Linked DNA regions of Saccharomyces cerevisiae S288C. Each later gene encodes a partner of the first gene's protein in a complex. Each region holds a gene or a part of one and is shown on either strand. Other genes may lie near its edges. A codon is read from its position in the direction of its gene.

The links.
Region 2: the proteins of GPA1 (region 1) and STE2 are in contact, whole or in part, in a cryo-EM structure (PDB 7AD3), measured with the Saccharomyces cerevisiae proteins. Residues at the interface, in NP_011868.1 of Saccharomyces cerevisiae: Ile310 (codon at 1,202), Gly311 (codon at 1,199), Ser312 (codon at 1,196), Ser313 (codon at 1,193), Phe315 (codon at 1,187), Asn434 (codon at 830), Tyr438 (codon at 818), Val439 (codon at 815), Gln448 (codon at 788), Lys451 (codon at 779), Phe452 (codon at 776), Leu454 (codon at 770), Ser455 (codon at 767), Ala456 (codon at 764), Thr458 (codon at 758), Asp459 (codon at 755), Ile461 (codon at 749), Ile462 (codon at 746), Gln463 (codon at 743), Asn465 (codon at 737), Leu466 (codon at 734), Lys468 (codon at 728), Ile469 (codon at 725), Gly470 (codon at 722), Ile471 (codon at 719), Ile472 (codon at 716); in NP_116627.2 of Saccharomyces cerevisiae: Thr78 (codon at 1,659), Pro79 (codon at 1,656), Ile80 (codon at 1,653), Phe148 (codon at 1,449), Gln149 (codon at 1,446), Val152 (codon at 1,437), Ile153 (codon at 1,434), Thr155 (codon at 1,428), Gly156 (codon at 1,425), Asp157 (codon at 1,422), Asn158 (codon at 1,419), Phe159 (codon at 1,416), Lys160 (codon at 1,413), Lys225 (codon at 1,218), Ser232 (codon at 1,197), Arg233 (codon at 1,194), Phe235 (codon at 1,188), Leu236 (codon at 1,185), Leu238 (codon at 1,179), Ser243 (codon at 1,164), Phe244 (codon at 1,161), Leu247 (codon at 1,152), Leu289 (codon at 1,026), Ser292 (codon at 1,017), Ser293 (codon at 1,014), Ala296 (codon at 1,005), Thr297 (codon at 1,002), Lys304 (codon at 981).

The regions. Positions count from the first base shown.
Region 1 is NC_001140.6:112,789-116,704, forward strand, and holds GPA1 (guanine nucleotide-binding protein subunit alpha), read right to left. Parts: upstream 2,130-3,916; coding exon 711-2,129; downstream 1-710. Other genes in the region: Nem1-Spo7 phosphatase catalytic subunit NEM1, read right to left, coding at 1-306; protein transporter TIM10, read right to left, coding at 2,832-3,113. UniProt on the Saccharomyces cerevisiae protein: Alpha subunit of the heterotrimeric guanine nucleotide-binding protein (G protein) that mediates mating pheromone signal transduction.
Region 2 is NC_001138.5:80,640-84,469, reverse strand, and holds STE2 (alpha-factor pheromone receptor STE2), read right to left. Parts: upstream 1,891-3,830; coding exon 595-1,890; downstream 1-594. Other genes in the region: BST1 (Bst1p), read left to right, coding at 1-325; GTPase-activating protein GYP8, read left to right, coding at 2,558-3,830. UniProt on the Saccharomyces cerevisiae protein: Fungal class D1 G-protein-coupled receptor that acts as an alpha-factor pheromone receptor performing pheromone-dependent signal transduction involved in cellular conjugation, mating projection assembly, and in cell fusion.

The DNA.
Region 1 (3,916 bases):
AAAAAGTAGTAGTGCCCACAAAATTGACGCTATTTTCTCTATTAGGATGGAACGTAAAGCTTTTGGTTTTTTAGGAACAGAATTTTTGCGCTCTTGATTTTGATCAGATTCTTTTAAGTGGCTTGAGGAGTGGTCGTACTGTTGGTCCACCTCACTAACGCAATCATTTTCGCTGTGGCTAGTATATTTGTTCGAAACTTCCTTTGAAGGGCCTAGTAGATCTTGATTCTTTGTCACCTCAACATTGATTTTTTTTTGTTTCTTTGTAGTTATTAAATGATTTGAGAAATATTTTAGGGCATTCATTCAATTAATGAAACAATGTCCAGAAATTAACAACAATAAAGAAAAGTGAGAATAGGATGCAAAATAGGTTCTATATATCCCGAGTATTTACCAGGGAGAAGAATTCGAGATAATACCCTGTCCTTACGTAGAAGAATCAATTGTTTTCAAGAGTTTTTCTTCTAAAAAAGTGTCTGGACCTTTTTTTTCTCATGCGATTTTATTACCCTTGTTTTTCAATTGAAAACCCGGAACGATTTAACGAGATCAAGAACTGTTGAACAAAATGGCTTTTTCATTTGGCATTCCATCATAGACTCTAATGGAGAAGAAAAATAGTAATTTTTTCTGGTGCTGCTGCTCCTTCTTGCATCTTCGGAAACAGAATTTACGTATCTAAACACTACTTTAATTATACAGTTCCTTCATATAATACCAATTTTTTTAAGGTTTTGCTGGATGATTAGATCGGTGACTGCACTCAATACGAACTTCATAGTTTGGGTATCGGTAGCGCAGGTTCGTTTCACGTAGATTGGTTTGTTTGTCTTATTCAAGCTCAAAAATATCTTCTCAAAATATTTTAGACCCGCTTCTGCATCGCCGACACGTCCCTGGTAATCAGGAAAGTACTTTCTTATGGGCATGCTTTTTACCTTTTCCTCGAACAAATCAATTTTATTTAAAAACAAAATAAACGGTGTATCTTTGAACCACTTAGAGTTCAATAACGTGTCAAATAGCATTATTGATTCATGCATTCTGTTCACTCTTTCATCCTCAAACAACATCTGGTCGTATTCACTCATTGCTAAAACAAATAAAACTGCTGTAATTCCTTCGAAACAATGAATCCACTTCTTACGTTCAGAACGCTGCCCACCAGCGTCGAGAACCTTGAATTTGGACGAGCCGATGTTAAATTCGGTTTCTGTAATGCCTGTAGTCTTTATACGGCCCTTCAAAATGTCTTCATCCGTACAGACATAATTCGGACTAGCAAATTTCTCAATGTTATCAAAGTAGTATGCAGCTGAGCCCTCCAATTGAAACTCATTAGAACGTGCAAAACACTGCTTTATACCTTTGTCGTTATTCCAAAGTTGCTTTATTGCCTTAGCAATGTCTTCGTGAATAAGATTTCGTCTATTTTGTCCTTGAATTTCCCTTGATGTTTTTCTAACAAACATCTGGTCATCGCCTTCTTGGTTCAAGTCCTTGCAAATATCCTGTAGGTTAATTCTACTACTGTTGTTTCTATCAGCATCCTCATTTTGCGTCACCGTTTCAGCATCTCTGTCAGTGTCACTTTTGACATTAGAAATATTTCCGTCTTCATCGAAAGCAGCTTTTGCTCGTCCGGTACTCTGAACACGCCTCCTAGTTTCATACCTTTCTGAGTACTTCAGTACATAATCATTTAGAAAATCAGAACCACCGGCAACACTGGCGTTGATATAATCTAAAGCTTTAGCCTTTAGCAGTATTCTCTTGCATGCAAACAAATCTTTATTGTTGATCGGATCATCACAGTCAAGTTGAATACCTAGTTTTCTGGCCTGAATAATCAAAATTTTCATTGATTGTATGGCATCTGCCCATATCACTTGAGCATACTGTAACCTTTCTTGATGGGAGAAACCGCCTTGATGTAATAATTTTAATTGTTTTAAAACCGTTGATTTACCTGACTCACCGGCACCTAATAGTAACAGTTTTATTTCATTCTTGTCACGTTGTTTCTCCAGCTGCAACGATTGCTCGATGACATCATTGGCTCTTTTGTTCTGTAGAAAAGGATCACTTTCGTCTCCTATTGTTTGCGTACTCACTGTACACCCCATTATTTCCTACCTTAATATATCAATTTATACACCTCTGGATTATTGATGTGATGCTAAAATACCAATTTACAGTATGAATAGCTTCTACTCAGTTTGGTCTTAGAAATGGTCAAAAATGTTAGAAACGGAGTGACAAGAAAAAATGAATAACAGATCAAAAGATTACGAATAATATAAAACGTAAAGAAATTGGTGGAATTCTACTATCCTCTTCATTTTAGACTATTTTTTAATATTTCCCTTTAAGGAAAACAATATGTAACAAAAAAATTTCTGCTCTCCATTTAATTGCATTTCTACAAGGAAGAATACGCAGAAGGACGCGCAGAGCCCTAAATTGATGTGCTTTTTAACATGCTGAGCCGAGTGCGTTTCGGTGAAATAACACGAAGATGCGTTTCAAATTGAAACTAGTCAGTGTTATCTGCATGAAAAGGGAATATCGTTATGCATTCAGTTTTCCAATAGAGACATTTTTTTTTTTTTAGATTCGGCTTGCTTTATCCACCTATGATCTTGTTTTCAAACAACATGTGCCATGTAAGATAAAAAGGTAAAGATGAAGTACAGAAAAGAGTATAATGTTACTTGTATATACAGGATATGAATCAATAATACTAATTATAACGTTGAGTCGAGTAAAACAGCTTATGGATTTCTTTTCTTATTTTCGTCTTATCATTACTGCTTTAATGCACATTTCTAAAACTTACCGGCTGCGTTAAATGATTGGCCCATTTTCTGCATGTTTTCACCGACTTGAACATTGGTCTCAAAATATTTGGCCACACATCTGTCTAGGCACGAAGATTCATTCTTATTCAGCTCACCCTCGGAATAAGAAGTATTGATACATTTTTTATAACAGTTATTAACCAATTTATTGAACATGTCTGTGACCAAATCTAGTTCAGCTTCCGCAGCTTGAATCTTTTGTTGAGATGATAATTGAGGCTGACCACCACCGAAACCTAAGAAAGACATGTTTTTCTAAGTATGATAGTTCCTTCTTTTGCTTGTTTATCTGTTAAAAGACATGAGAGGGGAACGAGGAGAGTAATAGTTCTTTAGAGAGCTTGCTCTTGTACGTTCACTGCCAGCTCTCTCGCTGAAAAAATTAAAGAAAAAAAATGTCCGATAGCTTCAGAGGGTGATCATCAGCTACGAATTGGGAAATCAATGCAAAAAATGCTTCCAATCGGATTTGAACCGATGATCTCCACATTACTAGTGTGGCGCCTTACCAACTTGGCCATAGAAGCTCTAATAGTGATAGGACCCAGATTATATTTAGTGACTTGTTGATAAATGTTTTAAAATATTACCTTCGTGTCGTTATCGTTACTGAGGAAAGATTTGCAAAAAATAATTACATACTTGGGCTCTTCTGAACGAACAAGTTAACCAAAAAGGTGTATATTACTTCCTCTTGTTTTGTTTCCGGGCTAATGCTTACCTTTCCTTTGTTTCCAATGTTCTTCTTTAACACCAAAACATACTATTTGAGAAATGGGTGAATGTTGAGATAATTGTTGGGATTCCATTTTTGATAAAGGCTATAATATTAGGTATACAGAATATACTAGAAGTTCTCCTCGAGGATATAGGAATCCTCAAAATGGAATCTATATTTCTATTTACTAATATCACGATTATTCCTCATTCCGTTTTATATGTTTCATTATCCTATTACATTATCAATCCTTGCACTTCAGCTTCCTCTAACATCGATGACAGCTTCTCATAACTTATGTCATCATCTTAACACCGTATATGATAATATATTG
Region 2 (3,830 bases), on another chromosome or scaffold:
TCTGCTTTTATTATTTGTTAGTGCCATTAACATCCCTATCATTATTGTTTTCCTGCATAATGTTGCCATCAAATGGGAAACTTCATTTAGATCCCATCACAATATACTAGCAGTGGCACCAATTATTTTTTTGGTTGGAAATAATTCTATTTTCAAAATGCCAAACAGCGTACCTTTAGACACGTGGGATGGTAAAGTTACCATCATTTTATTTGTGTACTTAACCGTTTTCAGTTTCATTTATGGAATAAGAAATCTGTACTGGATACACCACTTGGTGAACATAATATGTGCCTGGTTGCTATTTTTCGAAACAATACATTAGAACTACAACCCAGTAAAAAAAGATTAACTGTATATATTGCCTGAGAGTTCTAGATCATGGCAAGAAAAAAGCTTGAACTCGTAAAAGCAAAGGTGGTTTCTACCACTACTTACGAGATGTTTATTATGTAAAGGAGTTTAAATATTATCAAATAAGAAAGATACCATTTTTTTTTATAGAGAATGTGGTGCATCTGATGAGCACCTGAATCTAGTAGTAACCTTATACCGAAGGTCACGAAATTACTTTTTCAAAGCCGTAAATTTTGATCATAAATTATTATTATCTTCAGTCCAGAACTTTCTGGCTTCCTCATCAGCTGCCGTATCGGGAGTGTACATGTCGACGGGTTCAACTTCTCCCTCTTTGTAACTTGCATCAGCAAACGGTCCTATCCTAGTATTTTTTGAACTCGTAGGTGTGGGCAACTGATAAAACTGATTTTTCTCTATATCATCTGCAGTCTCAGAAACAAAAGTTCTTTCCGAATGTTTATCCGATGTTGTTTCCTTCCTTCTAGGATATAGGTCATATAATCTACTTCTGAGACTGCTTTTAGCATCGTTGTTGATACTATCAGTTTGAAAGCTAGACAGCGTGCCTGGATAAAACCTATCTGTGGATGTTGTAAAGTCTGAAGTAATTGTGTTTGTTTTGGATGCATTATTAGCAGCCGTGGCCCACATTGATGATAATGGTAAAGACAATACAGCAAGTAATGTTGCAACAGTAGTCAAGACATCTGTTCCCTGGTTTGGTTTCAAACTGTATGCGAGGATGAATATTATCGATGGAACCAACAAAGATTGACATGACATTATGAGTAAAATATGGAAACTATCGAACTGCTTGAGACCAAGGAATCTTCTTGATCTAATAGCTAAAATCAATTTAACTACCAGGACAAATGACATAAAGTTTATTGAGGATGCAAGTAAAATTGTGGATGCATTGAAGTATTTATCTTGGGTGGCACTAACATCATTATAAGTCACAATCATACCTTTAACAGCGCTTACAAAATACATGGTAACTGTAGCAATCCCTAAAGTGAAAGATATCGACGTCAGCATCAAACCTATCCTTTTGAAGTTGTCGCCTGTGAAAATAACTTTTATCTGAAACACCAGTGAAGTCTCAATAGAAGCCACAAGAAGGACTTGAATTATATTTGTAGCACCATAAACATGAACGTCACCTCTACTGATGAACTGAGGAAATCCGGTGAGAGCGTAAGTCACTGAAGAGTAATTAGACAGTAAATATTTAAAATAGAGTGCAGAATGCAAAATGATTAAAAACAATGAAACTTGGTTGATAATGAAAATCGGCGTTTTTCTGCTTCTCGATGTCATCCACATGACAATCAAAGTCAAAGCAGCTGCACCACATCTGACACCAAACATAATGGCCTGAGTAACAGTACTGTTAACTAAACCTTGCAACTCATCGAAAGTGATGGTAGATCCATTCCCATATATGGAAGTGTAGTTAATGGTGCTTTGACCAGGATTATACGTTGGATCATAAAATAGATTGCTCAATGAAGGAGCCGCATCAGACATTTTTGATTCTTGGATATGGTTCTTAACGGTGCATTTTTAAGTAACCAATTATAATTATAGCCAGAGCAGGTGAAAAGAAAAGGTATCGTATTGCTTTGAAGTCAAATAAGATACTAATAGCACTCCTTAAATAGTATTCCACCCACAGAAAAAAATCTTGAATATGTAGGAAAGCTTTTTTCTTCATATGTGTTTCATCATGTACTTACCCAATTAGGAAATTTACATGGTTGAAAAAACTTCAATCTGCGACTTGCCAGGCACAGGTCCTAAGCAGTATGGACGTTGGCCTGCTTAAATTCTTAGCGGATACTATTGTTTCATTGCAAAGCAGGATACTTCTTCTCGTTTATACTAGCCTGTCTTAATGCACGAGACATTTACCCACAGAGCAAGACGTATATTGACGGATTGCAACACCTATTCGAGCACTACAGCGTGTGACAATGCATTTTGGCAGGCATTGGATAACATATCCGGACTATTCTACAGTTCGTTCTATGCTCTTATCTTGAATCTTTGGTGTATTAAAAAGCTTATTGAGGTTTCATAGCTAAATTTTTCCTTTTTTCTCTCTGGGAAGGGAAGATTATCTTGAATTGGCAAAGTAAAGAAATAAAGAGAAAATTTAGCAAATGACATAGAACAAGCCAATTAACAAAATACGATGCCATTAAGGTCATTATTTCATACTAATCAGAGTAGCCACGACAAAGACGCGTTGACAAGGGGAGGTTATAACGCATATCTGGAATCACTTTCTCGTTGTGACAGTGGAAAGGCAGAAGAACAAAAAGGAAAAGTTATATCAAAGTTATTAGAGAAAAAAGATGTCCGAGCTTTGAGGTACATAGGTTTAGGGCCTCTGGGGTTTGTAAACAACTCATTAAGAAAAGATTGTTGGTATGAATTATTGGCGTCCCAGTTGCTTATTGATGATGCAACAGAGTACATTACACCAGTGGAAAAACATAAAGATGAAGGTCAGGTGATATTGGATGCAGAAAGGTCTTTTGGTGGAATTGTCGACAAAAACTTGAAACTGCAATTGAGAAAACTACTGGTGGAGTTAATTACTCGGGTATTGAGAAAGTACCCAACGTTGAACTATTACCAAGGTTATCATGATATTGTGTCTGTTTTCATCATGTGTTTTAGTTGGAATGTCACAAAAGAGAACGGACTGGAACTAGAAAATCTCTCATTGCAAGAAGAAATTGATATGGAAAGGCTGTTTTATTGCATCGAAGCATTTACCCTATTATATCTGAGGGATTTCATGATGAACTCACTAGATTTTTCATTTGAGCAATTGAGAGTAATCTCTTCATTGATAAAGGAATCAAACATGAAATTCTATAATCTATTCAAATTTGACGAAAATGAGCCCCTTTTCGCTATTGGGTCAATATTGACAATCTTTGCACATAATTTGAAACCTATAGATAGCGGTGACAACAATCTTCATAAAATTCTTTTCCAGATATTTGACATGACAATATCGATGCAATCTATGCGTTTACCTTTGATCATATACAAGAACCTGCTATTGCAAAATGCGTCTGAAATTTCGAAGCAAATAGAAGCTAATTCTGATTTCTTCGAGAACGATTTTGACCTGCGCCATGGTGCTATACAAACAGTTTTACAGAAAAAACTGTATGATGAGGCGCTTTGGGAAGAAGTCTTGCAAATAACTAGAAAAGATGCGACTACTGCCAGCAAGAAGGCTTTGAAACGGGTGAGTCTTAATAAATATAGTGCATTACTCAATACAGCATGTGGAAAGCCAGGATGCTTCGATATGAGCACCATTATCTTCTATTTGAGCGAACAAACAAAGATGAACGAGCATTACAAGGAAGAAAAGTATCATGGTGTCGCCGCCAGATCCAAGACAAGGGCGTTGGTCCAAAGACTTGGCCATTTTTTACCCTCCA